Lonchura striata: one gene and its partners. The protein of the gene in region 1 interacts with the protein of each later gene in a pairwise test. Links are inferred from orthologs where the notes say so. Each region holds a gene or a part of one and is shown in the gene's direction. Other genes may lie near its edges.

The links.
Region 2: the proteins of CDC42 (region 1) and ARHGDIA interact in binary tests that used the Homo sapiens proteins (3 or more experiments, as listed by UniProt). The link is inferred for Lonchura striata from reciprocal best matches to the Homo sapiens genes CDC42 and ARHGDIA.
Region 3: the proteins of CDC42 (region 1) and CDC42SE1 interact in binary tests that used the Homo sapiens proteins (3 or more experiments, as listed by UniProt). The link is inferred for Lonchura striata from reciprocal best matches to the Homo sapiens genes CDC42 and CDC42SE1.
Region 4: the proteins of CDC42 (region 1) and CDC42EP1 interact in binary tests that used the Homo sapiens proteins (3 or more experiments, as listed by UniProt). The link is inferred for Lonchura striata from reciprocal best matches to the Homo sapiens genes CDC42 and CDC42EP1.

What each region holds. Positions count from the first base shown.
Region 1 is NC_134626.1:8,463,648-8,470,855, reverse strand, and holds the start of CDC42 (cell division control protein 42 homolog), read left to right. Parts: upstream 1-4,142; 5' UTR 4,143-4,235; intron 4,236-7,208. Other genes in the region: C24H1orf50 (uncharacterized protein C1orf50 homolog), read left to right, coding at 644-826. UniProt on the Homo sapiens protein: Plasma membrane-associated small GTPase which cycles between an active GTP-bound and an inactive GDP-bound state. In active state binds to a variety of effector proteins to regulate cellular responses. Involved in epithelial cell polarization processes.
Region 2 is NC_134621.1:11,931,995-11,939,354, reverse strand, and holds the start of ARHGDIA (rho GDP-dissociation inhibitor 1), read left to right. Parts: upstream 1-4,091; 5' UTR 4,092-4,195; intron 4,196-7,360. Other genes in the region: ALYREF (THO complex subunit 4), read left to right, coding at 100-231, 2,095-2,242, 2,411-2,474, 2,593-2,770, 3,537-3,551. UniProt on the Homo sapiens protein: Controls Rho proteins homeostasis. Regulates the GDP/GTP exchange reaction of the Rho proteins by inhibiting the dissociation of GDP from them, and the subsequent binding of GTP to them.
Region 3 is NC_134635.1:2,917,411-2,924,721, reverse strand, and holds the start of CDC42SE1 (CDC42 small effector protein 1), read left to right. Parts: upstream 1-4,184; 5' UTR 4,185-4,489; intron 4,490-7,118; 5' UTR 7,119-7,211; coding exon 7,212-7,265; intron 7,266-7,311. UniProt on the Homo sapiens protein: Probably involved in the organization of the actin cytoskeleton by acting downstream of CDC42, inducing actin filament assembly. Alters CDC42-induced cell shape changes.
Region 4 is NC_134607.1:23,378,303-23,386,360, forward strand, and holds the start of CDC42EP1 (cdc42 effector protein 1), read left to right. Parts: upstream 1-4,736; 5' UTR 4,737-4,856; intron 4,857-8,058. UniProt on the Homo sapiens protein: Probably involved in the organization of the actin cytoskeleton. Induced membrane extensions in fibroblasts.

The sequences.
Region 1 (7,208 bases):
GTGGTTACAGGCCATGAAGAAGCAGAGAGAGGAAAAAAGTAATGTTTTTGGTGCTTGGGAACATATGGAGCTCAGACAAAAGCACCAGCTTGATGGGGACATTTGTTTGTCCCTACTCAGGTTTGGTGCTTGCCCTTGCTCTTGGTTAGTCTGCTGGGGCCAGAGCTATTTTATGGTGTTCTCTGGCTTTTGATGGAGAATGGCAAGAAGCCCTCTGGGGCGTGGACCTGGATTTTGTCTTTTGGTACTGCGGTTCTTTGCCTGAAAGTAAAGAACTGACAGTGGGCTCTGAACCTTCCCTTGCTGGTGTGGCTGCCTGGCAGGAGGGTCTCTTCAGGTACTTCAGCCCAGGCAGCTGAAGAGATGATCTTGGAAATCTCCTCCTTCCAGACTACCTGTTTTCTTACATGCAAGGTGGAAGTTTCAGGGCAGGTCAGGGAGATCTTGTGTCCACATGCCTTCCTCTGTCAGCAGTGCTAGAGCTCGACCTGATCTTGGACTTGGGTATCTGACCCTGTATTTAGGTTAGGAAATGGTATGGTCATGTAGCTGGGACTGCTTTGAAGGTAGTAGGGCTGAGAGACAGCACAGCCAAGCTCCAAGGAAACCTGAACACTGATGGAATCTCTCTTTTCTCCACCAGGAATGGGGTACTACTCCCCATGAATTTCTTGGTGCCTATAAGCTCCAGCATGACATGTCCTGGACTCCGTTTGAGAACATAGAGAGACGAGATGCTGAAATAACTGTCCTGGAGAAGCTGCTGAGCCAGCCGGCAGCATTGCCCCTGTGCATGGAGCTCAACTTCCAGGGTGTGACCAAGTGACCACACAGGACCCCCTGAGCAGAGTCCCTGAGTGAGGGGACAGAGTACCTGTACGCTGCCAAAGGCAGGGTGGAAATAGACCAAGAAACAAAAATGCTGATTGCTTTTGTGCTTTAAGAAGTTTAATTCTGCATTCAGTCATACTGGACTTTCTAGTAATTGAATAATTTACTTCATTGACCTATGGCAAGCTGTAGTAAGAGGCAGATGATACCAGGAGGTGTGACTTCCAAGAGTGCTTGGAGCAAAAAGCAGAAATGCTTGGGGCAGATGTGCTAATGTTGTAAAATAATATCTCCTGTCTGCCTGGCTCTGGTGTACCTCGCTGTGAATGTATCAGGTAATGATCTCAGGGCTGGATTTTCCCCCTTATTAAAATGTACATGTTTAGAGAGCTCTGTGGTCTGGAAAGAGTGGTCAAAAGCTTATGCAAAGGGTCTGCTGTGATGAGTCTTCTGGTCTCTGTCCTAGCTGGTCTGAATCCCTGAGCTGGGAACATGAAGCTTTTCTCTGGAAAGAGCATCCCCAAAAGTGCCATGCAGGCTTCAGGTGTTCTTCAGATGATGTGTTTCACATCCTCATGCATTCCCCCTTGGATTTGAGTGCATGAGCTGCTAGGTAGAGGCAGGATACTGGATGACTTTATGCCAGAGCAGTGGGGAGAGTAAAATAAACCATGATCTCACAGGTACCACCAAGACAGGCCCTGTGTTCTTCCTGCGTGGCAAAAATACCTTTAGCTTTGCCAGGAAGACTTAGTGGCATGTGGAGCTAGTAGGATACCCCCAGCGTAATTTTTCCATCTAGAAAAACTAGGGAGAAGTAAAGATCAGAGCTGCTGAGGAGATATCCTCCCTCTGCCAAGCCACACAGGGCTTCTTCAGGAACTTGCCTGCTTTTCTGTGAGGAGCCAAAGTTGGAATTTATTGACAGAGAGGATGTCCAGGTTGGATCCTGGTATGTAACATTAGATCTGGTTGGATTCTCCCATGACTTGCTCACTTTTCTAACATGACAAGATGATCTTGTATGCTACTCCAGGCATTGCATGTACACAATCACCTTGCCACCTCCATGGGCAACATGGGAGAGTTGGGGACCACTTGTAGGAGCTGAATTCTGACCTTGGGATCTGGGCCAGCTATGGATGGATTTCATGCTTCTTGGTGGAGCCTGATTGTGAGCGCATCTACAAAAACAAGATCCTTGGGGACCAGCACTGTCACTGTGTTTTGCCATTGCTGGAATTTATTCCCCTTTTGCAGGACACAGCCTTACCTCAAGTCTCTAGCATTCCTCTGTCCTCATCCCCATGCACTGGGAGTTTGCCTTGGGAGATGCTCAAGGCTGCTGGCGGTGACAGTTCCTCATGGGAAGAGCTGTTTCCTACTGGTGTTACAGAGGATTGGAAGGTTTGGAGCAGCTCCCTAGCCCAGGATTTTTTGTCCCAGATTTTCTTCTCCTAGCTCTGTCCGGTGCAGTAGCTCACCTACATCCCCGCATGGCTGAGCCTCTGTTTGGCAGAAACCTGTTCCTTGGATTCAATATGAGGCTTTTTTTTCCATATCTTTCCTCACTTGGAGCACAAGGACATATTAACAGGAATTTGTTATTAGTAGTAGTAGTATTAGACCAGGCTATAATTAATTCCGTAACAAGTTACAGGTGCTGAATTTGACAGGGTTTTTCTCTGCTTGTTTCACTGCCTTGAGTCTGATTTTACTGCATGGTATTATATCTTAACTTGGAAGGGATAAAGTTAATTACTGCATGGACTTTGTGTGGTTCACGTGTGTTGATTTATGCTCCTCTGGGAAGTGAGGATTCTTGCCCTGGTTTTATCTGTTTCCATCATTAATATCTGTACCATGGCATGCACAAGAGGCTTGAGGAGTGGTGGTTGTGGACCTCTGTAGCTTATGGTGGGATGTCATGTGTGTCTAGCAGACACCCCTGGCCCTCCATAGCCCACAAGTCACTAGTATTCTGCAGTTCTTCTAGGCACTGTCAAGTCTTTCTCTTGTGAAAAGACAAAGGAGGCCTCAAGAGACGGGACATGGAGGTAATGAGCTCATAGTCATCCTCATCCTTGGCATCCTCATTCCTTTGCACTGTGGGAAGTGGGGAATGAGGCTGGTGCAGGGAGCAGTTGATGGAAAGGGGGAACCATTCCCTCAATATTGCTTATGCACTGTTGAAGTGTAATTAAAGTCAAAGAACTGTGAGGCATCATCAGAAATACTGGAAGGTGCTCTAGAGCCAAAGCAAAACATAATCTGGAACACAGACAAGGATGAAGCTGGTTGAGGTGGAGCCTCATGTGATGCTTGCATCAAGAATGAGTTTCTGGAGGAATGATGAGATGGTGCCTTGTGGGAGACTCCAGGGTCTCTCCAGGTTCTTGTTCTCATCCACTCGGCTCAGCCTCTACCCAGCTGGAACATTTGTGCTTGACAGGGCAGGGATTTCATCGAAAATCATCTGGAAGAGACAGTGAGACACTGATATCCACTCATGATTTCATCTTGAAAATTCTTTTGAAAATGTTCCTCTTCCTTTGCTCTTTTGTGAGTGCTCCGGGCAGCAGTGAGCATATTTGGAAGGCAGTGGCTCTTTCCAGAATCCCCAGGGATGTGGAATATTTGCAGAAGGCACAGATATGCTTCTGACACCATTACATTGGGCAGAGTGGATTGTGTCCTGTCTTTGGCCATGCAGATGGACCAGGGCTCATTTAAGAAGTCCAATGCAAAGATGGTTTGAGGGTTTGACCTATTCCATGTGCTCTCCAGAGACAGTGTTTGGTGACTTGAAGCTGCTGGCATAGGTACTTGCAGCTTTTTCCAACTTTTAATATTTGAATTGCTCTGTAGTTTACTGTTTCAGGCCAGATTTTTGCTTTGCTTCTCAAAGTAGTTGTGCCTGGAGATTTTCTTTCCGGCCTCTTGTTCCTGAATGATGGGGGTGGTTAGGGGGATTTAACTTGCCATAAGTACCCTCTGCTCTGGGGTGTCATCTCCCAGCCATGAGGAGTGCCCCAACAGGATGAACTGTGGATCTTTGGCCCTTCTTATGTCGGCTTCAGGTCCAGGGAGAAAAGACAAAAAACCAAAAAAAACCACGAAAAAAACAAGAAAACAAAAAAAAACAAAAAGCAAACCACACCAAACCAAACCTAGAGGGAGCCTGGGCGCTGTGCCGGCGAACCTCACATCCGGCAGGCCGTGCCCGCGCGCGCCCCCTGACGCTGCGCGCAGCGCGCTGCGAGCCGCGGCGCATGGCCGGCAGGGGGCGTCCTAGCTGGCACGCCCCTCACCAGCGCGCTGCGCGGTGACGTCAATCGACTGCCCCTGTGCCTGCGCCGAGGAGACCCCGCACTGAGCTGCCAACGCCCGGCGGAGCGTCCGAGGTGAGAGTGGGGGGGCGGGGGAGGGGGGCGGAGACGGGACTGGGACCCCCGGCCGAGCTCCGGGACCTCCGGCCGAGCTCCGGGACCTCCGGCCGGTTCTGCTCTCCGCGCGCACCCACCAATAGAGCCCTGGCCTTCACCTCGGCCGGGGCGCCCGCTGTGCGTGCGGGGCCTCCCCGGCAGCCGCCTGCCGGGGGGAAGGGCGGCCTCCTCCCGGCGGGTCCCGGTGGCTGCTGGCGGACGCTTGCCTTTGTGGGCCTGGTCTGTTGAGGTGGTCGGCATGGCCGCCGCTTCTCCTGCCCACCCTTCCCCCGCTTCCGGGCGGCCGTCGGACTGGACCCTCGGAACGGCGCAGGAAGCGTTCTCGCAGCCATGGCGGGGCCCGCCCGCACTCCCTTGCCCCTGCCCGTCCCAGCCCCGCCCTGCCCGTCCCGGCCTCAGCCGCGGCCCTCCGCACTCGGTGCAGTCCGGCTGCGCTCGGGGCTGTGGGAGAAGCCTCGAGGGGCTGCGGGCACAGCAGCCCTGAACCGCAGCGGGGTGTGGGCATGGCGAGGAGTTGAGCTCTAGCTATGTGCCCTGCACAGACAGCGCTCAGTCGAGAAGTCGCAGACTCTTCTGGGTATCTGCCTCACGAGCTGCAGTGCTGTGGGTTATCCAAAGCTGTCCCACAGCTTTCGTTACATCGTGATGCCTCTGGCTGTAGCTGGGCCAGGAGCTAGCACTGCTTCAAAGGTTGGTGTTGACATATGTTTTTCATTCTCCTTGGAAATCTCATAAAAATGTACATACTGCAGAATCATAACTCCTGTCTCTGTTTTAAAGGTCTGGTTTAGTGATCTAGATTTCAGTTCCGTATCTGTAAGTAGATAGAACTTGCAGCTGGTGACAGCAGTAGGAGACAGTTGCAGAGCCAGGTAGCTGTGAAGACCTAGCATTGGAAACCTATGCTTAACAAAGAATGGTCGGGATTCCTGTTGTCCTTTCTGTGTGGATGCTGTGGCCAGGGCAGCCAGAGATCCTGTCTTGACAGCAGCATGAGGAAGACAAGCCCTGGCAAAGAGGCCGTGTTAGATGGCAACTGAGTGATCAGACATGGTAACTGGATGATCAGAACTGGCTGCTTGGTCTGGCCATCTATGATTGTCTTTGTGCTTCTCTCCCAGGAAAGGAGGTGTGGGCTGTTCAAAATATTGAGTTGCAGCGCCCAAAAGCTTTATTTTTTTTTCCGGAAGGGGCATTTAAAAACTGCATCAAGCTCATTGTATTGCTGATTGGGATAACTCAGTAAAGCATTACAGCTTCTGTTTTTCTGTAAGCAAATTATATTCAGCTGGCTGAATGTGAGGAAGTTGTATGTGAAGAAGCTGTTCTAAATTTCCCTTCTGTTGTAAACTTCTGCTTTGTACTCTTGTTAGTGTAAGGTTCTGAGGAAGATAATATAGGCAACTATATTTGAGTCAGGTCTTAGGCATGTATGGTTTGAATAAGTATATTGCCGACTGTAAAAATGGTTTGGTGTTTAAACTGTTCTCATTTATGCTTCAGTAACAACAACAACAAAAAAACTAAGTCTTGGCAAGGAATAAAAAATTACTGTGGTGCAAGATAAAACATGTTTTCACTTTGGTAACATATCCGAGGCAGAAATTTTAATCACTAAATTTGCATACTTTGAACTTGGTTATTCATGACCTGCAACTGATGTTCTGAATCATTAAGTGCTCTGCTTTAGGGTTGTTTGCCTAAAACTGATGACTGGGAAGTTCATGATGTTTTTACTGTTTAAATAGAAAAGCTCTGGAAGCTCTAGAGTGTGAAGTACCTAAAACTGAAACTGTCATTCTGCTAAAAGGCAACGGTAAACATAAATGGAGCCCCTGTGAAGCTCCCAGGGATTTCTCTTATAAGTGTTCTGTGGGCTTTCCTTGCTGTAAACCCTGTGTGAGGCTGATGGAAAGTGCAGCATGAAGCTAGCCACTAATCTTGATGTAAAGCTTCTTTTTCATTAAAATGTAGATGTAGTACTAAAGTAATTTTCCAAGTTTTATGAGCATAGATAGCTGGACCTTACAATTAAAACCTTTTCAGCAGCTCTCTTGTTACCATGGGGGTTGGTTGGTGTACCTGGGTTCCAGCTCTGCTGTTAGCTCCGGAAGACTCGGACAATAAATGAACATGCTGCACTACAGCTGAGGTTTGTGTAAGATGTTGCAGGTGAGATGTGTATAATCTGCTTGATGCCCATGTGAGTGCTCACAGCTTTTAAAAGTTGTCTGTGGGCTTGTGTTTTTGATCCTGCTCATTCCTCTGCCTGCCCTTTGTGGTCAGGAGAGCTGAGCTCTCCTGCTGTCATTTGGCTCCATCATGAATTTATGATACGAGTTTCTGGAGCAAGAGACAGTTAGGAGGAATTGTAGAGGGTTTAGTTATCATTGCTCTTTAGGAAAAGATTCTTTGCTGAGGAAAGAATGACATATTTCTCATTTTAGAAGATGAAAGTTCTGTCAAATCAAATGGAAGTGGAATTGGTTTCTGGTGCTTCAGGTAGCAAGAAGCTCTCTAACCACTTAGTCTTCTTCCTTGGTTCCTTTCACTCCCTTACATTAAATGTAGGTGAAAGCACCCTATATTCAATAGTTAATATATGACAAATAAAACAATTTATTGACCAGATAAGCTTTTATGCAAAGTTTTAAGAGAAATTTAAAGTACCTTTACATTTCTGCAGCCTGTCACCATTTAATTATCTGGCTTCTCCCAGACCCTACACTTTATTACGGTTTGACACGATACAAGCTAAGTGTATATCCCTCAGGAAGGACTGCCATTAGGAGTGGTAGGTAAAAAAAATCCCTTTCCCCAGAGTTTTTGCAAGGGCTGAAGCTTGGCACAAAAGTTCTCCCTCTCTGAGGTTGTTTGGCCACCCCAACATAGTGGTCAGCTGCCCCTTGCAGCCCATGGTGTGTATGTTAA
Region 2 (7,360 bases), on another chromosome or scaffold:
CGCGCGGGGCGGGGGCGCGGACGCGGGCGGCCCTTTGTCCACTCCCGGCGCGGCTGCGGCGCCTTGGCGCCGGTCAGCGAGGTCCCGGTCTCATTGCAGCCGAAGCAGCTCCCCGAGAAGTGGCAGCACGACCTGTTCGACAGCGGCTTCGGGGCGGGGGCCGGCGTGGAGACCGGCGGAAAACTGCTCGTCTCCAACCTGGACTTCGGCGTTTCGGATGCGGACATCCAGGTGCGGCTCGGGGAGGCGCCGCGGCGAGCGGGGCCTCATTCGCTGGCCCAGGTCGGGTACCCGCGGGAACCCCGCCGGCCCTGCTCCGGCTTGTGCTCGGGGCCGAGGATTCCCGGGTGAATCCCTGCTGATGGGGTTGGTACTAGGTATGCCTACTTTGCGGCGATCGTGGTGGTCTCCAGGGGGCTGGAAAATTCGGTTTATAGGTGTTTTGTAAGTGACTTCCCGGTGTACAGGGAGCGATGCTGTGACTGTGCTGGATCACGCTGTGGTTGGAGGATGCACTGTGAACTCTGAGCTCCTGCTCTGCACAGCTGTAGCTGTCTGTAATGGTGCTGTGGGGCCTGCTGCTTTGTCAGACCACACTCTGGTGGGTGTCAGGGGTTCCCAAGGATGCACCTATCAGTGTAACCAGGTAGTTATTTGTCATAGGAACAGCTCTCCTGTGCTGGTGCTTTGGTGTCCTGTCCCCCACCTGTCGTGTCCATGCCCCGTTTGGGCTGGTCAGAGCCCACAGTGCCTGCAATCGGGTGCTTGGGGCATCTGCCTCAGGGCTGGAGGCTGAGGGGTGTCACAGGGTCATGAGTGGGCTGTGAGCTGTGCAGGAATTGAGGGCCATGTATCCCTGGTGGAGGCTCCTGCACCACAGAGTGTTGCCATCACCCTGGCCTCTGGCTCTTGTGCCCTCACCAGGGAAAACCAAAACAGTGGTGTTAGACTTTCCTCATCAGTTCATTCATTCAGCCTCTCCACACACCCATCTGGCTGCGTGTGGAGAACTGGAAAGCAGCTCTGTCAAGTCACCTGCTCACTGGGTAGTGTGCTGCACTCCACCTCTTTTCCTCGTATAAGTTCAGACTGAGTTTAAATAAGTTTTTGTTTGTTGCAGTGAGGTGGCAGTGTGTAAAACTCAGCCCCTGTGCCTTGTGTGCAGCCAGGACTCACCTTCCTGCTGCTGCACAAGCCCCCACTGGGGGCTGAATCAACGGCTTTGGCCCCATGTCCCATAATTTAGCATTGCCTCAGATGTGGGATTGGTTTTGTTCCTGTGCTGATGCCTCTTTATGTGCCAAGAGAGGCCGAAGGTACTCTGATCACAAATGAGCTGTGCAGCATTGCTCTTTGTGTCCTCTGAGGCAGAAGCAGCAGATCCTGGGCTCTGGGCAGAGCTGAGACAGCCTTGCCTGCCACATTCTGTCCAGAAAGCATCTGCCAGGTGTCCTTTGTAGTTCTCCAGCAGCCCTGCTGAGAGCCCTGTTGTGACTTGGGAGCAGGTTGACACAGGCAGTGCAGTAACCTTGTTGGCTTCCCAGATATAGTGCCTGAGAAACAAAATTGGTGGCTCTGTTGCTGCCTCTTTATTTCCAACTTTTGTGGCAGCAAAGGACACACCTCAGCAGAGGACTTTGTTGGTCTCCATTTTTAGGATATGTTTCTAATGGGCATAAGTCTAGCACAGTAAAAGTGTCATAGTCTCGTGGATCCCTGCAATCACATGGTCATTCTCCTCTGTGAGAAAGGTGTCTGGGGTCTGCGGTATTTTCAGTTGTTGCCACTTTGACTCACCTTCAACAAGGACCCCCAGTTCCCCTGGGAAAAAAAAACAGGTCAGCATCCCTTGAATCTGCTTCACTGGCTGTAATGTGCCTCCTACAGGACGTGAGCGTGGAGTCCTGCCTGGTTTTGCCACTTGTGACAGCTCCCTGAAATCTTGCTGATGGGCTGTGCTCCCCTGTGCCACTGGGTGTTTTTCCAGGCTGTCTGAGGTGGTGGGACAAGCTCTGGTGCTGAGCGTGTCTGTGTGGGGCGCTGCAGTGCTTGCAGCATTGATGGATGGGCTGCTCCTTTCCCTGTCATTCTCAGGAGCTCTTTGCGGAGTTTGGGACCTTGAAGAAGGCAGCTGTGCACTATGACAGATCTGGCCGCAGCCTAGGAACGGCAGATGTGCATTTTGAGAGGAAGGCTGATGCGCTGAAGGCCATGAAGCAGTACAATGGGGTCCCCTTGGACGGTGAGGCTGCGTGGCCCAGCCCCACGACTTTTTCTGTGGCTGGAGCAGAGCACATCCGTGTCCCTCCCCTCGTGCCCGTTTCTCCCACGCCCTCGTCCCTCCCGCCCGTCCGTGCGGCTCCTGCCCCGCGCGTGCCCCGTGGGCTCACGGACGCTCTCCCTCCTCCAGGGCGCCCCATGAACATCCAGCTGGTGACGTCACAGATCGACACGCAGCGGAGACCAGCACAGAGGTGGGGGAGCCCCTGCCCAAGCAGTGCAGGGGAATGTGCAGGAACCCTCCCTGCTGGGGAACGTGGGTCCTGTTTGGCTTCGCTGAAGGCACTAAAACAGTTGTTTTAAAACTTACAGTGTAAACAGAGGTGGCATGACCAGAAACCGTGGGGTCTCGGGGGGATTTGGAGGTGGAGGCAACAGGCGAGGGACTCGTGGCGGGAACAGAGGGAGAGGCAGAGGAGCTGGAAGAACTTCCAAACAGCAGCTCTCTGCAGAAGAACTAGATGCACAGCTGGATGCTTACAATGCCAGGGTAAGTGCTGCTTGGGCATGGTAATGGGCTCCCTACAGCATCTCATCCTGGGAAGCACTGGCAGTCTGGAGCTGGCAGAAAAGGGAAAGCATTTTCCAGGTCCTTGGACTGAAGCAGTCTCTCTCTAAAGCTGAACTGTGCCTTGGCTTGGGTCTGAGCTTCCCTTTCCAGAGCACTTTGTCACCTGTTCCTGATGGCTGAGAAACAGGCTCTGTTCTTGCCAGGCTCCATAGCTGGAACAGCCACTATGAGCAGCAGCTGCAGAACAAAACTCGCACAGCTGATAGGTTGCAGGAATGGGAAGACGAAGGAAAATCTCATGTGAAAGAACTGTGTGGTGTGCTGCTGGGGAAAGGGTGTAATGTTTGTGGCAGAAATGAGCCCCAGCCTGGGGAGCCATGGGCAGGTTGCAGCTGTACCTGGAACTTGCTCAGCATATGCTGTAGCTGGGCCAGGATCCCAACAAAGCTGAGGCCACATGGACACTGTGGCAGCAGAGCTGGTGGTTCAAGACTCAGGATATGTCAGGGCAAGAGTGTGGAAGAAGTGGGATGAGCAGGATTCTAGAAAAAGCTTTGGAGCAGTGTTGGGGTGCAATTTGCTGTTGTGCTCATGGTGTGCTGTGGCTTGGACCCACCTGTCCCTGTCCCCCAGAGCTTGTGGGTTCACCAGAGCCAGGCTGCCTGCAAAGAAGTGAGTGGGCTTGGGTGCAGGGGGGTGCTACGAGGTACCAGGGCTGCGGTGACATTCCTCCCCTCTCTTGCAGATGGACACCAGCTAAAGCAGCAGCGGTGGGCGCAGGGAAGGACTCCAATCGTGCTCCACACTCCTGGCAGGGGCTGCGGCTGTGGCTACTACTACCAAGGATGGGATTTGTTTTACTTTTACGTTCTGGGATAGGTTTTAACTCCTGTAAAGGTTTTTTTTAATTCTCAGCAGACCTGTTTTGTACCGAGTTATTTTTGGGATAAATTTTTCTGGTTGCCTGTTGGGCCAAGGTGGCTTTTTCACCTTTGCCGTAATAAAATAGAACCATGTCTAGAGCTGTGGCTGGTGCCTTGCCGCGCTGGGCCCCGCGCCCCATCGCCCTCCCGCACGTACCGTGATGCTCCGCGCCACTCTGCCGTGTACTGGTCCCGGTCCCGGTCCCGTCCTGCCCCGCTGGTCTCGTTCCTGCTTCCGATCCCGCTCTGCCCCGCCCCGCCGGTCCTGCCCCGCTCCTCCTCGGTCCCGCCCATCCGGTCCGTCCCGCCCCGCCCGCGCGCGCCCTTCCGGGCCAATCAGCGCGCGGTCCGCGGCCGGAAGCGCGGCGGCGGCGCGGCGGCGAGTAACGGGAAGTGCCGGGCGTGTCCCGGAAGTGCGGGGGCGCGCGGGGCCTGGGCGGATCCGCGGCGTTGGCAGCGCAGCGGGGAGCGAGCGAGCCCGGTACGGCGGGAGCGGCGGGAGCGGGTGGGTGGGGGTACGGTTGGGCGGGAAGGGCCGGGCCGGCCGCGCCGCGCTGGCTGCGGGCCGCGGGCTGCGGGAAGGGCCGGGCGCGGCCGAGGGGCGGGCGCGGGGCCCCGGGTGCCCTTGCGCGACCTTCCGAAGGCCGGGGGAGCCACCGCCCCCGGCGGGGCCGTCCCGGAGCGGAGCGCGTGGGGCGAGGGCGGAGCGCGGGGCGCGGGCGGCCCGTGTTCCCCCGAGGGGCTGGGGCGGCTCCCGGCGGGCCGTGCCCGGTGCTCGGTCCGAGGTGCGGTGCGGGGATCGCCCGGCCCCACACGTGCCCAGGTCGGCTGTGCCTCTGGCGCGTACGGGCTGTTCATAAATGGCCGCCGGGCACGGAATGAGGAACTGTGAGACACTGTACAAGAGTCGGACTGCTCCGTGTCAAGTCAGGGCCCTTCCATCCCGACCGCCGCGGGCAGGGTGCGCTTCGAGCCCCGGCGCGGGGGTTGGCACCGGAGCCGCGGCTCCCCCGCCAGCATCACTCCACCGGGAGCAGCGGCGTTTTCCCGAGAGCTGGTCTGAGGGCCCTGACCGTCGTCCGTCGTTTGTTTGTGGTGACAAAAGCTCCCAACCACACTTGATCACTTGACGGTTTCCGGTCTGCTCTGTTGCTCCGCTTGTCCAAGCATTTTTCCAGTGTAGAGGATCTTGTTCCATGACTGCAGAGTGGGGACAGTTTAACTGCTGTGGGTTCGGCTGCTGACACACATGGATAGGTCACAGTCCTGGCTCCAGGTACCCACAGATCTGGTTTGCAGCCCTGGTGCAGTACTGCCAGCAGCCTTTATCCTTCTGGAGTTGTTTGTGAGCCCTCAGCCTGGCTCTGCACAGTTCAGCCATGTAGGTAAACAACAGGTCAGGGATATGTCAGAAAAAAAAAGAAAAAAAAATTCTCCATCCTCAGACTGCTGAGTCCTCTCTGGGCAGCAGCGTGTCCTCCTGTTCCCCAAGTCCTTCTTGCCTGGGTCTGTGAGACAGCCGAGGGGATCAAGCGGGATGAGAATTCCCTCGGATGCTCTTACAAAGCAATTGGTGCAGCAGTGTTACCTGATATGCCCTGATAGCGCCTGGCCTCAGGAAGTGCCAGCTAGGCTCCTGTCCTTCCTGTGGTACTGGTGTCCCCCACTCCCCTGTGCTGCCCTGGGACCATCTGAGCTCTCTGTGTGGAGCAGCCAGGCTGTTTGGGCTGTTCTGGCTTCCCATCCTGGCAGAGCAGCTTGGGACAGGGCCCTGTAGAAACACTTACTGCTGGGTCACATTCCAGCTGCGTTCTCCGGGTGGCTGCGCAGGCTTTCCCTGCGCGGGAAGAAGGAAGGGTGGGGACTGCTGGAACCGGCCCTGCTGCCTCCACAGCTGCGCCTGACGGAGCTGATTAGCTCATCTGATGATACTCTGACTAATGCTGGCCTCGCTGCTGCCCTGGGATCGGGATTCCAGGGTACGGAGTCAGTGATTCCCACTGTCTGCTTGGACACAGCAGGGATATCCCGCTAGTGTTTCTTCCTGGCAGGAGGTGGGGCTCCAGCGTTAGCTACTGCAGCTGCTCTGCCCTGCACAAAACATGCTGAAAATCCGGAAGAATTTGCTGGGTTGAGGGAGCAGTGAAGGTAGCGTGCAAATTCCCAGGTAGGGATTCAGCCTCCTGCTGCCTTCTACAGGCTTCTGTGATCCTGAATCCCTGCTTGGAGCTAGGGTATGTGTCTGAAAATCCAGGAGCCCTTCTGTACCCTGCTTCCAGCACAGGCTGGGGTCCCCTCCTGCAGCCATGGCAGTTCCTGGGGGCTGTGCTGTTTCACAGAGCAGTGGGATCCCCAGGACCTGTGGGTAAGCTGATAGGAAAGGTGAGGGCTGTTCCCCCAGAGCCAAGCCCAGCCTGGCCTGCAGTGATGACTGGAATCATGCTGGTTCTGGTCCCCAGCAGTGTTTTCGGTCCTGGTGGGCTCCTCAGAAATCCTAAGAAGGTTGGGGTGGGTCATGATTAATCTATGTGATGGGTATGCGTGATTCTTTAGCTCTGGATCACAGAAGTAAGGCTGGAACACAGGAATGTGACCAAAGAGCTGGGGATTTGGGTTTTTGGTTGGTTTGGGCTTTCTTCTGTGCCCTCTGTGTCATGATTGTTGCTAAATACCAGTTTGTGGGAGGGGCTCCTCGTGGGTCTGGTGGAGATGGGGCTAGTGGTGCATGGGACAAAACTGTCACCATTGTGTTACACCAGGGGGTCAGCTGTTCAGGAGTGGCAGCTCTATGCTGACACCAAAATAGTTCATTTCCAAACTGCCCAGGAGAGGATTCTAGATCTTGGAGGTGACCAGCTGCTGGCAGTCAGGGCTGTGAATGCCAAGGCTGCTCCCAGTCAGCGCAGCTGTCTCCCAGCCATGGGAGCTGTACTGGGACTGGTGCTGTTGTTCACAGAGCACTGGCTCAAACAGCTTCAGGTGCTGGAGCAGAGGCTGCCCCCATGGCTCCTGATGTCACTGATCTGGCTGTGAGAGATTTTGTCTCTGCTTGGTCTGAACATTGGAATGTGGAGGGTGCCCGTGGATACTCATGCACAGAAATGTACCTACCACTGTTGCAGATAGGTGTGTGGATGCTACTGGATCCTCTGCCATGTGTGTGGTTAGTGTGCTCTCACAGAAGGCTCAGTCACAGAATTTGGGAGTCACCACAAGTTTGGGACTTAGATTCTGTAAAGCTGAAATTCTGCAACTTTCATTCCTGAAAGCTGCAGATATTCTCAGAGCAAGATGTGAGAGTTAGAACAAATTGCGGGCCATGGGTGGTACCATCTAGCCCAGAGGTGAGCCAAAGGACAGGAGGAGGGGACCGGGCAGGATACAGGGAGGAGAGGGAACAGTGTAAGGTGTGTAAGTGAGCGTTTGCTCAGTACTTCTGGTAGTCCTCAAGCCTGGCAGCTGTCTGGGAGAAGCAAGGGACTAGGTTTGATACAGAGACACTGGCATGAAATCTCAGCAGTGGTTCATCTGTGACGTGAGACTAAATGCCCTTTTGAAGACAAATTTCCACATCGTTCAGTGTGAGGATGTTGGAGGATGCCAGCTGTTTTCTGTGCAGGGAAAATCTTTCTACAGCAGGTAAAGT
Region 3 (7,311 bases), on another chromosome or scaffold:
GCTGATTCCCTGACTTAAGTCTCAGAAAGCAGAATTCTCAAGGATGATTCAGGCATACTTTGGATCGTGCCCTGTCGGTGCGATGAATGCTGGTCAGCTGCTAAATTTAAGGTTCTGGATGTCACTCAGGGGCTGTGAAAGGCTCCTGTGTCACCCCCGCCGGGTAAACTGAGCCACAGGACTTTAAAATAATCTCTTCCCGGGGAATTTATCCCTGGGAGGTCCATCTCTAGGGGTCTGTCTGTGAGTTTTTGCAGCACGACAGCAGAGATTTATTAATGGTGATGGGTGTTGCGGACATGGATTTTTAAGCTCCAAATGGTGAAAAATTGGAGTTTAGTGACAAGAGGGGAAAAGAGAGTTTAGTGACAAGTGAAATAATAAAATATCTAGTAAAAGGGAATGAATGTCGGGGGGAAACCCCTCTTGTTACGCGTGACACCCCTAAAAAAGAGCATTTCCCACGGTCTCAATGTGCTCTGCTCATCCCATGGAAGCAAAACCACCTTTCTCCACTTAAATCCCCGCTGGCTGTGGCTCATTTCCCCCCATCAAAAAGAAATTCCAGGAGTTCCCCTCCACCCAAATCCCTCCCGGAACAAAAAGCATCCTGCGGCCGAGCATCCCGGCCGGCTCGCATCCCTTACCTGCGCAGGGCGCGGTGCTGCAGCGGCGAGCTCGGCGCCGGCCGGGCTCTTTGTGCCGGGGAGCCGCGGGCGGAGCAGCGTCGCTTTTGTCTGCCGGCTCGGCTGGGTCTGCAATGCAGCCCCTCCGAGTGCCCTTCCTCGTGGGGGGAGGATGATGATGATGGCAGATGAGTCAGCGGCTCCCACCCGCGCCAGGGAGGGGGAGGACGGCAGGGGCGGGGAGTGGGGGGGGATCCTGCGCGCTGGACCCCCAAGCCGAGGATGTATTGAACTGCTGAAGCCTTCAGCTCCGTGTTGGGGGGAATAATTTTCGGTCTGCAAAGAGCTGGGAAAGATTTATTTTACCTGCATGGGAAGATATGGGGTGCTGTGGTATCCCCAAACCTTGGGAGGGCACTGTGCGGGTCAAACACAGGGAAATTTGGCTCAAAGAAACCCCCCAAAACTATACACATATATATTTTTTTAAAATTTTTTTTTTTTTTTTTAATCTGAGACTGAGACTATTTGGTCCTAAGGTCACACGGCAAAAATATCCCAGCCAGACATGGAACTGGAAATAGAGGGAGACAACCCAAACTGGCATCAATCACTGCCAGGGCTGAGGGGGGGGCTTCACCCAGGGCGGGTGGGGGCACCTCACACCCACTTTCCCCCACAGCTGACCCCGGGTGTTGGAGGTGCAGCAAAGAAAACCCCGATGCAACCCCTCAGACCAGGGAATCTCCCTGCCCCAGCACCACCGAGACCCCAAACACCCTTTTTGGGGGGCACAGGCCACATCCATCCACCTGAGATGCTGAGGGCAACCCTTGCCCTCCTCTCCCTGGGTTTTGCCTGAGATCAACATTCTTTTGGTGCTTTAGGGGTTTTTTTTCTTTATTTTCCTCCCTGTTCCCTGCGCACAGCTCATTTCTGATGGTGCCAAGCTGTTCTGCCAGTGCTCGGCTTTCAGCCAGACTATTTCTGCCTCCTCTTCCTCCTCCTCCTCCTCCTCCTCTACCTCCCAGCACGGTAATGGGCAAAGAGGATCCCATGTTCCTGCTCCAAAATAGACCCTTGGTCTCAGCTGGGCCCCTGCAGCACTTGGCACAGGGAAAATTCCACCTGGGAGCCCTTTGAAGGATGCTGATCCCTCCAAGGGGTTGAGCAGCTCTTTTTGGGGGTACCCCAGGCCATGGGGTGAAGTTTGGCTGAGCAACCTCATAAGAAGCTGGATGTCACCCATCTCCTTGCTCTTCGAGGTCTTGTCACCTGCTCACATGTGACAGCCCAAAGACTGTGATGTCCCTCTCTGGGAAAGGACCTGGGGCTGAACCCCCCAAGGGGACGTAGCAGTGAGGGCACTGCTCTGAGCCCCGCGGTTTTGGGAGGGCTGCAAGGGGGACACTGTCCTCTGGCAGCACAAACACCAAAAAAAAAAAAAAAAAAAAGGCTCTTCAGCTGAAACGAGGTCCCAAACACTTGGGGTATTATCAGCCAGGGCCACCCGATGGCTGGGGACAGGCGTGGGACAGAAACCCGACTGAGTGGGGACAGTGCTGCCTTGTTCAGGATTTCTGGAGTGGGAGCAGTGGGGATGGTTGGGATTTGGGGGCTGACACAGGAAGGGGCACTCTGAGGCTCACAGTGTGGTGGCAGTGGCAGGACTGTGGTGGTGGCACTGGGAAGACTATGCTGGTGGCACTGGGAGGACTGTGCTGGTGGCAGTGGCAGGACTGTGGCGGTGGCAGTGGCAGGACTGTGGTGGTGGCACTGGGAGGACTGTACTGGTGGCACTGGGAGGACTGTACTGGTGGCAGTGGCAGGATTGTGGCGGTGGCAGTGGCAGGACTGTGGTGGTGGCAGTGGCACTGGGAGGACTGTGCTGGTGACAGTGGCAGGATTGTGGCGGTGGCAGTGGCAGGATTGTGGCGGTGGCAGTGGCAGGATTGTGGTGGTGGCAGTGGCAGGACTATGCTGGTGGCAGTGGCAGGACTGTGGCGGTGGCAGTGGCAGGACTGTGGTGGTGGCAGTGGCAGGACTGTGGCGGTGGCGGTGGCACTGGGAGGACTGTGCTGGTGACAGTGGCAGGATTGTGGCAGTGGCACTGGGAGGACTGTGCTGGTGACAGTGGCAGGATTGTGGCGGTGGCAGTGGCAGGACTGTGCTGGTGGCAGTGGCAGGCTGTGGTGGTGGCAGTGGCAGGACTGTGGCGGTGGCAGTGGCACTGGGAGGACTGTGCTGGTGACAGTGGCAGGACTGTGCTGGTGGCACTGGGAGGACTATGCTGGTGACAGTGGCAGGACTGTGGCGGTGGCAGTGGCAGGACTGTGCTGGTGGCAGTGGCAGGACTGTGGTGGTGGCACTGGGAAGACTGTGCTGGTGGCACTGGGAGGACTGTGGTGGTGGCAGTGACAGGCTGTAGTGGTGGCACTGGGAGGACTGTGCTGGTGGCAGTGGCAGGACTGTGCTGGTGACAGTGGCAGGATTGTGGCAGTGGCAGTGGCAGGACTGTGGTGGTGGCAGTGACAGGCTGTGGTGGTGGCACTGGGAGGACTGTGCTGGTGGCAGTGGCAGGACTGTGGCGGTGGCAGTGGCAGGACTGTGGCGGTGGTGGTGGCAGGACTGTGGTGGTGGCAGTGACAGGCTGTGGTGGTGGCACTGGGAAGACTGTGCTGGTGGCACTGGGAGGACTGTGGTGGTGGCAGTGACAGGCTGTGGTGTGGCACTGGGAGGACTGTGCTGGTGACAGTGGCAGGATTGTGGCAGTGGCAGTGGCAGGACTGTGGTGGTGGCAGTGACAGGCTGTGGTGTGGCACTGGGAGGACTGTGCTGGTGGCAGTGGCAGGACTGTGCTGGTGACAGTGGCAGGATTGTGGCGGTGGCACTGGGAGGACTGTGCTGGTGGCAGTGGCAGGATTGTGGCGGTGGCAGCAGCCCACCAGATGTTGTGCAAGCGGAAGGGCACCGGGCTGGAAATGGTGAAACCACTCAACACCAGCTGCAGGGTGGCGCTGGGGGGTCCCACGGCCCCCATTCCCACCGGGACCCCCACTCCTACCGGGACCCCCATTCCTACCAAGACCCCCATTCCTACCGGGACTCCCATTCCTACCAAGACCCCCATTCCCACCGGGACCCGCACTCCTACCGGGAGCCCCATTCCTACCGGGACCCCCTCTCATACCGGGACCCCCATTCCTACCGGGATCCCCATTCCTACCAAGACCCCCATTCCCACCGGGACCCCCTCTCATACCGGGACCCCCACTCCTACCGGGACCCCCATTCCTACCAAGACCCCCATTCTCACCGGGACCCCCACTCCTACCGGGAGCCCCATTCCTACCGGGACCCCCACTCCTACCGGGATCCCCACTGCTACCGGGACCCCCATTCCTACCGGAACTCCCACTCCCACCGGGACCCCCGCTCCCACCGGGATCCCATTCCCGCAGCCCCGCAGTGCTGGCGGTGCCCGGGGAGGGCGCTGTACCGGGGCCGGGCCGGGCCGAGCCGCGCCGGGCGGCGGGAGCAGCGCCGCGTCCGCACCGGGCCACGCCTGGGGCTGCGAGCGGCCACCGGCACCGGCACCTCCCGGCCACGCCTCGGGCTGCGAGCGGGGCACCGGCACCGGAACCCGCACCGGGACCAGGACCCCCGAGCCACGCCTGGGCTGCGAGCGGGGCTCCGGCACCGGCACCGGGAGCGGGGCTCGCACGGGGATCGGGACCTGCACGCCCGGGCCACGCTTGGGGCCGCTGCGAGCAGGACACCGGCAGCGGGACCGGGACTTCCGAGCCACGCGTGGGGCTGCGAGCCGGACACCGGCACCGGGACCCGCTCCCGCGCCGGGACAGGTAATGGGGCCGCCGCCGGGACGGGAACCGGCGGGTGCGACCCCGCGGAAGGGCCCCCGGAACCGCCGCAGGAAGGCGGAGAGGGCACCGGGATCGGCACCGGCACGGGAGCGGGGCGGCGGGACCACCCCCCCGGCAGCTCGCTGGTGCAACCGGGGAGTCCTGCCGGGATCCGCAGCCCCACCGGGACCACCGGGGTCCCAAGGCCTGCCGGGTCCCACCAACCCGGGCAGGACCCGCGGGGTCCCGAACGCTGCTGGGACCCCCGGAGTGCGCGGAGCCCCGCGGAGCAGCCGCTGCCCCGGGGGTCGCAGCCGGCACCGAAGCTCGCAAGCAAGCCCCACTTTGCCGCCCCATCCCGGGGTCCCGGGCCCGCAGCCGGGGCACCCCAGGACTCTCACCCCGTCCAGCCCCGTCCCCGCACGGGGGCTTTCCCTCCGAGCTGCGGAGACCCCAGCGGGTACCCCGCAGTGGGTGACCCCAGTGCGGGGGGCTCGGGGCGGACCCCGCTGCCGGAGCCCGGCGGTGACGCAGAGCCGAGCGGTGCTTTCCCAACCGGGAAGTCATTTTGCCTGTGCCGGCAGGGCCGGGCCCGAAGCCGCCCTGCCCGGGCCCCGGTGGGCTGAGCCCGGGCACGGCTCCTCGCCGGGGCTGCGGGGGGCGTGCGACCCTCGGAGCGGGGATCGGGCCGAGAGCCGCCGGGGCCCTTTCGAGGACGCCAGGCCCCGGCGGGTGCCGGGGGGCGCGGGCAGGGGTCGTGGCCGTGCGAGCCGCGGAGCTTTCACCGGCGGCTCCCCACGGAGCCCCGGCGAGGCCCTGCCGGATCCCGGCGCCCTCCGGGGCCGCGGTTCCTAAGGAAATTCAGGAAGTCGGGCTGGGAAGGAAACGCAGCCCCCTCCTCATCTGCCCCGCAGCCGGGGAGGGGGGAGAGCTGCGTTCGGCAGGGGGCACGGAGCCGGTGTGCACCGACCGGGACGTGTGGCAGCCTGCCCGGCCCCGGTGCTGCGCTGGCGGAGGGGCTCGCTGGGGACACGGACACGGACACGGACACGGACACGGGCACGGGGACACGGACACGGACACGGACACGGACATGGGCACGGGGACACGGACACGGGCACAGACACGGGGACACGGACACGGGGACACGGACACGGACACGGACACAGGGACACAGACACGGACATGGACACGGGGACACGGACAGGGGGACACGGACACGGACACGGACACAGACACGGACACGGACACGGACACGGGCACAGACACGGGGACACGGACACGGACACGGACACGGACATGGGCACGGGGACACGGACACGGGCACAGACACGGGGACACAGACACGGGGACACGGACACGGACACGAACACAGGGACACAGACACGGACACGGGGACACGGACACGGACACGAACACGGGGACACGGACAGGGGGACACGGACACGGACACGAACACAGGGACACAGACACGGACACGGGGACACAGACACGGACACGGACACGGGGACACGGACAGGGGGACACGGACACGGACACGGACACGGGCACGGACACGGACACGGGGACACAGACACGGACACGGGGACATGGACACGGGGACACGGACACGGACACGGGGACACGGACACGGGGACACAGACACGGACATGGGGACACGGACACAGGGGTGCTCTTCTTGTGCCAAGCTGGTGGTGATGGGAGCAGCACAGGGAGCACCCACCCCATGGGTGCACGGGAATGCCCGGTTACCGGGGGGATTCCATGCGGTCCACGGGGCCAGATCGTGGATGGGGCCGTGCCCAGGCTGGGCTCGGAGCAGTTTTGGGGAGCTGCCCCGTGGCCCCGCTCCTCCCTGGCAGCAGCAGGAAGTGCGGCCGGACTTTGGTCCGTCCGGCGGCACCGGCGCCGGGGCAGAGGAAGGAGCTCGTCCCGTTTGCCGCGGCTCCGGCACCCACCGGCCGTGCCTGGGGGCTCTCCCGTGGCTGATACCGGGCTGAGCTCCGGCCACGGCCCCCCGTGGGCGGGTGAGTTCCCTGAGTGCCACCGGGGGCTTTTGCATCAAGGGAGTCATCTCTCCTTGGCATGAGTTAACCCCCATTTTGGGGGTGAACCCCCCTTTTCCACATCTCCTCGCCCATCCAGGCAGTACCGTGGGAGTTTGGGCTAAAATCCCACCAGTCCCTGTTTATTTCTCGCCCGGCTGCGCTTCAAAAGCTGGAGCGGAAGAGCTCAGGCTCCGGCCCCTTTTCGGAAAGGATATTTATAGCTGCCTGGCTCAGGGAGTTGGGATTTGCCATGGCTGCCTCCATCCCCCCCATCCTGCCGCAGCATCCTTCAGCTGTGTCCTGCCCTGGAGCGGGGGACAAGGCCTGGCCCCGATCCAGCCCTGGCCATGGGGACAGCTCTGGGGGTGTCTGTGCGATGCCCAGGGGTCCCTGGTACGTCTCCGACCTCTGGGACTCCCTGGGGACCTCCTTGCAATGACAGGTGTCCCCTTGGATGGTCCGTGTGTGACCCCAGGGGTCTGCTGGGGGCTCTCTGCTTTTTGTTGGTTGATGGGAAGTCGCTTGAGGATTCATTCGGGGAGGTCAGGCCTGGAAACATCGCTCTCCCTTCCCACTCACAGCCAGCTGCTCCTCTCCACGCTGTGTCCCCATGGAGTGACCCTGCGCAGGGGTCCCGGCAGCTCGGGGGGACGCTGGCTGCCAGCACCGCGAGCATGAGCGACTTCTGGCACAAGCTGGGCTGCTGCGTGGTGGAGAAGCCCCAGCCCGTGAGTACCTCCCGTGCTGCCATTTCGGGCAGGGCCCTGGGGGCAG
Region 4 (8,058 bases), on another chromosome or scaffold:
CAAAGCTGCCCAGCTGCCCCTGGCAAAGGGGCTCCAACTCAGCAGTTGCTTTATTCTTAAACCATTATCCCAGTGGGATTAGACTCAGCTTTTTCCCCCTCTCTCTCCAGAATATAAGCCGATCAAGAGTCCATCTCACTGCTCATTGTGAATCCAGTCTGGTTGGTGACCCTTTGCAAGAAGACAATTAAAGTCTGCCCTCGGCTGCATAAGAAGGGTCTGAAGAGTGACAGTACAGAGGTTACAGTGAATACAGGGGAGCAGTCTGCCATCCCCAAATATGACCCACTCTGTCTAAAAACTGGGAGTGAATTCAACTCTCCAATAAAGGATCCGCCTTTGTTGTTTACTGGGCTGTGTGCAAGCAGAATTTTTTTCTCAGGGACAAGAACCACATGAACTGAGAGTGTGCTCACAAAGAGTGGTTACCTGCCTCGAGAGGAAAACAAATTACTCTCTAAGAGGAGAGGTGGTGGGGAATGGAGCCCAGAGAAGGAACAAACCCAACGGCATTTCAGCTGCAGCAAGCAGCAGCTCACCAAACCCAGCCCGTTTGCATTAGTGCCTCCTTGCACCCCAAGGCTGCAGCCACCAGAGGTCAATGTGACCACATGAACCTCACCCAGCTGCTGGGTGCTGCACCCCTTTGAAACTGGGATGTCCAACTCAAGGATGAAGTAGTGTTTTCCACCTCTTAGGATGTAACTTTGGGACAGACTTGCATGTAAACCAACATTCAAAGCATTAAATCACAATAGGGCCTCAGCATTATCCTGGGAAAAAATAGCTTGGGAATGACAATGTCTCTAGTTAGCATCCTGCAAGCCCACTGAATTAAAACTCTTACTTGGCTGTGGGCCCCACGAGTGCTCCTGAGACCCTGGGCATGTCTCAGTCCTGCTGGTTTCAGTGTCACTCAGGTATTCTCACCAATCCCAGCCTTGGTAGCAGTAAAGGAGTAGAAATGGGCAGTGTGTACTTCCCTGAGTCCCACTTCTGCTTTCTGGGATATAGGTCTGTCATAGTGAATGAAGTCTGCCCCAGATCCAGGCTGGATGGATAAAACAAGTAGCTGACCTGCAGCCAGAGAAAGGCAAATGGGTTAAATGAGGCAGGGTCATCAGTCTGGGTTAGAAGTCAGAGAGGGAAGATGAGACTGCACAATAGAAATCAGTGTCTAGACAGCTTTGTAACAGCCAGCCATTCCTCTCCACTCCCACGTGTACCAGTTCTCCTCTCTATCTCCCCTATGTCCTCCTCTAGACCTCCCCAAACAGTCACTGAGAAGCCTTTTCCATCCTGGCCTCCCATCCCCTCCATCACCTTTGTGGACACCCACCTAGCAAACAAAACACTCCTACTCCACCCCCAGCAGAGCTCCAGCCTTGTGGGATGGACAGGTTTCCCCAGACAGTGCACATCATCCTCTCCAAGAACACTCCACTGCACTGCAGGATCATCACTGGTGCCCTCCACAAGGCCAGCTGCCCAGACCAAGGGTGTTTCCACCATCTCCCAGGAGCATTAGCTTAGGATGGGAGCAAAAAAGGACCAAGAGGCAAACTCTGGCTTGTCTTCACAGGGCAGATGAAGGCAAAGACACTGAGACAGTGAGAAGAACCAGCTCAGATGTCATCACAGAGACAAGCAAACTGTCTGTAAGAAGTTTGAATTCAGAAGAACAAATTGTCACCAAGACATCAACTGCTTAGCTGGGAACTCTGTTCACCCCATTCAGAAATACTCAGAGTGCTTCAACAGGACTAAATGAGGAGGCATAGATAGAAAACACTACTTCCATCTTCCCTTCCTCTTCTCTGAGATGATCCAAGTCCTGTATGGCTCCTCTCCTGAGCTGGTGCATAGACATGCCCCAGGATGTTCAGCTGCCAGAGCCCCTGAGTCACTGTCAGGCTGAGACTGGCCAGATGCTGATGGAGGAGAGGCAGGAGGGGTGATAGCACCCCACAACACTCATACTAAATATGTGCCATATCAGGGAAAGGGACAGGTCAGAACTACATCAGGACCTTTTCCTTTTGGCTGGGGAGCAAACCTGTCCAGGACATGATGAGAGAAAAGAGCTGAGTACATGGTAAGAGGGCAGAGTCTCCGTAGAGAGGGCAGAGAACAGCCAAGTGCTACCATCACTTGTAACACTGCTCCACAGCCATAGGGTGTCACCACCCTACCAGCCAACCTCTTGGGGAAGGAGGTGGCTGGGCAAAGCCAAAATGCTTTGGGTTGGCCTGGACTTAAACTGGAGCCCTTGCAAAGGGAAGGATATGGAGAGTCAAGGGCTGTGCCTGTTCCTGCCCCACAGACCTGCCAGGGCTCCTTTCTTCTGACTGTGTGACCTTCCCAAGACCTTTCATGGAATGGCTTTAAAATGACAGAGAGCAAGTATAGATTAGGTACAGAAAGAAATTCGCAACTGTGAGGGTGGGGAGGCACCAGAACAGGCTGGCCAGAGAAAGAGTGGATGCTTCATCCTTGGAAGTGTGCAAGGCCAGGTTGGATGGGGCTCTGGGCGACCTGGTCTAGTGGGAGTTATTCCTGCCCTTGGCAAGGGGGTTGGAACTGGATGAACTTTAAGGTCTTTTCCAACCCAAACACTTTTATTATTCAGTGATTCTGTGACCTACACTGCATTCAGCTATTTGTATCCTACAGTTGCTGCACTGAGCCAGGCCTCGGCTTACTTGAGGGGCTGTAACTCCCATCTGCTCCTGTTAATGCTGCTTAATGGTGTGTCCTCCAGGGCATCCACCAGAGGTGGCACAAAGCACCCCTCCACCCACGCTCAGCATGACCTGAGGACTACAAACCAAAGCTGAGATATGACAAATTCAGTGCAGATGTTACCTAAGCCAGAGCAGTATGGTGCCAGAGGCTAAGAAAAAAGCATCTTGGACCTTGTTTCCTCCTCCACATACCACCACAGCCACACCAGATGCCCTGCAGGATGTGACCCTAGATAACAAGGGAGGTCTCCAGCCCTTCTGGTGGCCGTATGGGATCTGTTCTGGAGCCATCATGGCTGAACAGGCACCCTCCCCTAAACCCTCCTCCATGCCTGGTGTTCCCAGTGCTCTCCATTCCTCTGTCCCAAAGCCAAAATACCCAGCTACCTCCTCGTTGTGGCCTGAGTGGGTCTTTGCCCTTTAGAGCATCCCACGGAGTTCAGCATCAGTCAGAGACAGCCATGGGAGGAATCAAAGCCTGGCATGTAGCAAGAGCTGTCTCTCACTTCCCAGGAAGCTAACGACAGACTCTCCCTTAGAACAGAGCTTCACAAGGCCCCAGAATGCAATCCTAGCCCTCTCTGGAGCTGGATGCCCATTTCCCCTGCAAAGAAGTCACGCCCTGCCACACAAATGCAATCCCTGGGCTAAGAGTCACAGACAGTCGCTTGCTGGAGCCCGCCCAAGAGCAATGAGCTTTCCAAGTCCTTTCCCTTTCTTGGGGGTCTGGTACTCACATAAACAGGAAGAGCCTGGCCCTCTCCCTCCCCCTTGCAGGGCTTGCCTCCCTCCCCTGCTCTGCGGCGGGCGCCGGCATGATGCAAGCCCAGCGCTGCGCTGCTTGCCCCCCTCGGGAGGAGCTGCCGGCTGGCCCCTGACCTCCAGGCTCCGCATTTCCTGCGGCAGCCCAGGAGGGAGACGAGGCCCCTTCTTCCAGACGCTGGGGCTGGGCGTAAAGGGGCCTCTATGGGCCAGCCTGCGGGGAAAAGGAAAGGTCACGGCGGTCCTTTGCCTGCAGCAGCCTGAGGTCGGAGGAGGCAAAGATGCCAGCAGCCCCGGTGGAGGTGGGAGCATCGCTGGGACACAGGCGTCCAGCCTAAATGACAGGGCAAGAGCCATGCTCCCGCCCCCGCCCTGCAGCCAGCTCTCCAAACCCTTCTTTATCTCCTGGCGTTTATTTTTAAAAGCTTTGTGTCCTTCTGTCCCAAAACCAAAGGCAGCCACATCAGGTCTGGGCTGCTGCCCAGGAGGGAGCAGAGCCTGTGCCTGCAGAAGGGTGCAGCTGCAAAGCCCAGTGCTGTTAACCCTCAGCAAACTAAGCCCAGCTGCAGGAATAGGTGCCTGTCCTAAAATTAAGAAGCTGGACTGTTGCCTAGGAGAGTATTACCCCTTTCCCCCAGCTTCCTCTAGGGAGGACTAAGCTGAGACAGGCATCCCTGACTCCTCCACACATCTCCCGTGGGTCATGACAGGGAACAGGACTGAGATCTGCAGAGGGAACCAGGAAGAAGGACAGAGCCCTGCTGAAGGCATTCAGTTTAAGAGGCATATCCCAATCTTCTGGGGTCCCAATCCACACTTGGGCTCTGTGCAAGCCCTGGCTTCTAAAGGCCCAGGATGCTGAGCACATGTGATGCCTGCTCTTCAGGACCTGGCAAGAGGTGCCGGATGCCTGGGGAGAGCAGGGAGGAGGGATGGCATCCCGGATGGAAACCTCTGGTATGCCTCTGCACTGATCTCCACTCTGCCCTGGAATGTGCCGGCCAGCAGCATGTGGGAAAGTGGAGGCAGCAGAGACCTTGGATGTGTCAGCTCCCCGGCTGAGTAAACAAGAGGAGCCCTGGCAAGCATTCAGCCCCAGCTATCCAAGACCTTGAAAAAAAAGGGGCTGGAAACAGGGAGGTTCTTCTGTCCTCTTCTTGCTCAATCTTTGCAATATGTGTCCTAACCTCTCCCCTACCTCAGGTGCTAACATCACCTCCTCATATCCCTAGCAAGTCTGGAGAAGAAGTGTGGGGAGAGACTCTCCCTGCAGAGTTTCCAGCACCATGCTGTTAGATCTAACATCCGGGAGAGACACTGCCTCAAAAGGAGGGTCTGGAGAAGAAAGAGGTAGGATAAAAGGATTTATCACCCCCCACCATGCACACATATCCATGCCCCTTGGCAGTCTCCCAGACAGCAGGGAGCACAGAGCATGAAGGGATCTTCCACCAATACTGGCAGTGCCTCAGGGAGCACAGTGATGGCTGGGACAGAGGCACAGTACAGCTCCCAGATAAATACCTTCCCAGCCTCACCTGGGGACATTCCCACTTGGGGGTGCAAGCTCCAGCCACACTCCAGGTTTCAGAGGCTCAAGAGAGGCTGACAGTGCATTCCCCAGTGCTGGTTGGAAACATGTTCCCACCGCTCTTCAGGTTGGCAGCATTGCCACCCTGGTCTCCTCTATAATGTGCACTCGCTGTGAGTCATCCCCTCATCCCCTCTGCACCCGGGTACAGGAACGTGGGCAAGAGGGGTGGGCTGGGGAAGGTCCCCCTGCATCCCACCAGTGGAACCCATCATCTCCTGGGGGCTGAACTCCTGCAGCAGTGGCACTAGGAGGTTGTGCCTTCTGGCCACCATCCCGTGTCCCCTATCGCTCCTCCACAGGCACAGACTCCCGGAGAATGAGCCATTGTTCCCCAGCCCTGCAGCCTCTTCCTGTCCCTGTAGGGCTGTGAGACAAACAAAAGCAGAGCCAGACGCCATGGGGAGGAGGCTGGATCTGCTCCCCTCCTCCAGATCCTGCAGCAGCCCCACAGGCAGGCAGACGGATGCCCGCCTTGGGGGAATGGGCAGGGACAACCCCTATTTTTAGCTGCTCCTGCATCCCCACCCCCTTCCTTCCGTGGGCCAAAAATACATGGGCTGGATGGACAGGCAAAATCATTAGGATTAAAGAGTTGTCCAGGCCTTCTGTCCAACCACTCCCCTGGTTTCACCTCTTCCCTTTGACCAGAACAGGTTCTCCAAGCACAGTCTCCCACTCCCAACATGGACGACTTATCTCTTAATCCCCATTCCCTATATCCCATATCCTCTCTCTGTACACTCTACCATTCCTCACCCCTGCATGCCACTCCCCCTCTGCTCTATGGATGCATCTCCCATTCCTTGATGGTCCCCTCTTCCATGCCACACCAGCCCTGAGGACATTCTCCCTTCCCCAGCTCCTCCTTTCCCCAAAACACCTTTCTGCACCTCCTCATGCAATTCATCTCCAAAAGGCTCTTTCCTCCCAAAGGCCCAGAGTTTCCCACTCACCCCATCCCCTCCTTCCCCTCTGCATCCCTTCTACCCTCACCATTTCCTCTTTCTCTCCCCACCCCAGGAACCTCCATCCCAGCTCCCTCCAGCCTGCATGGGCTTTAAACTTCTGTAGATATGCTCCCTTTCCTTGTCCTGCCAAGTGAACATATTTGAGGAAGGGCAAAGAGACTCACAGATCCCTCTGTACACAGAGAGCTGCTTCTCCAAGCACCAAATTTATATCTAAGCCCTCCCCCCAGTCCCTCCTGCACTGACTTTTACAAGGTCTATGAAAAAGAACTGGAGAATCAAGGGTGGGGTTGTTCTGGGGAGATGTAGTCTACATACATAAATATATATCTTTATATTTACATCTCCTTTCCTAGTACGTGGAATCACAGAAGTATTTCCAGGCCACAGGCAGCTGTTCCTGGATTACTTCTGGTTTATGCAACATCCTCACTCCCCCTCCCAGCTACGTCCCGAACCCCCCTTCCCTCTCCTCTGTGCCCATGTGAAACTCAGAGGGAAAGTATAAATCAGGGGCCATCCTGGGGTCTGTCCCTCCATCCTCACACCCAACAAGACCCCACAACATCCACAGCAGCCCTACAGCACCCCACATCCCTGGCCAACAGACAGGAATAGCAGGAGGAAGCTGGGGAGTGTGGGGGGAGGAGGAAAGATGAAAATATTTGGGATAGGAGGAGATGGGCAGAGGGAGGGAGGCAGCCCGCCAACAAGCCTGGGAACTCATCCGTACCTCCTCCTGGGCTTTGGCAAACCCCGAGGCTTTGAGTTCCCAGCCCTGCTCCCAGGGGAAAAGCACACACTCCCCCCTTTGCAAATCCCACAAGCAAGACGTGGTCAGTCCCATTCCTTCGTCCTCCCACTGCTCCAGGGGAGGGGAGGAGTTGGTGGGGAAAGTTAGAAGTGGGTGTTTACAGGGTTATCCACCCCACTTCTAGCATGAGTGCATCTAATCCAATGCTTCTGCCTGCCTGATGGTGCTCACCACAATCTCCCCACTTTCCTTCCCCAGTGCAACACAAAGATTCTGGGAACCAGACCACTCTGGTCCCTTTCCCTGCTTATCTCAAAGGCAACAGGCATGGTGTGGGGGACTTGCACCAAAAATGGGTTGAGCCTGGCCAAGCATATCTGGGGGTTCAGCCAGAGGAGAAATCACCCCAGTGGAGAAATTATAGGGCATGAGGGGATCCAGTGCCTACAAAGCCAGAGCTGGCATCAGGCCAGGGATGCTCTTGGCAAGACGCTGGGTGCTTGCACCTATCCCTTGCCCCAGGGTGTCCCCTCCTGCCACCACTCTGGCTTGGTCACCCTAAAACCGGCTTTGCCTTCAGCTCATCCCCAGGGCAGCGAGACATGGACTGGAGGCAGCACCGAGGGCCATGGGATGGGAGCAGTGAGAAGGGACCTGACAGAACCAGGGTGAGAGGGAGCTGGATGAGGCCATGCCTGGTGGGGCAAGGGAGCTCTCTGCACCCCCATCCCCATTGTGGCAGGGTTCTGTCCCCCATCCCACTGCTTGCAGTAATCCCCATACCCATGTGGTATGTGCCCTCATGGCCCCAAGAGAAGAATGGGAACATCTGGAAGTCACCTGCAAACGAGCAGCACTTTCAGTTAATGAGGAAATATGAGCCAGAGACTCTGGGCAGCAACAGGATATCTGCTTCTTGTGCACTGAGCAAGGCACCCCCTTCCCACAGAGCCCCCTGCCTGCCCTCCCTCCAGAAAGTTTCCAGCACTGCTGTGCTCCTGGAAGTCCATCCCTGGAAATTTCCCAGGGAAGGAGGGCAGGTGGAAAGGCAGCAAACTGAAATAGCAGGGAATATAAACCCATGGGTGTTTATGTGGAGTGGATCCTATCACAAGTTGGGATGCCTTCATCACCTTCGTTTGGCTTCTCCCAGGCACTGGGGAAACGGAGTAAAGGGATTTTTCTTTACTGGAGGGGAGTCCTGTATCAGCCTCCTTCAGGCATTGAGTTTGCAAG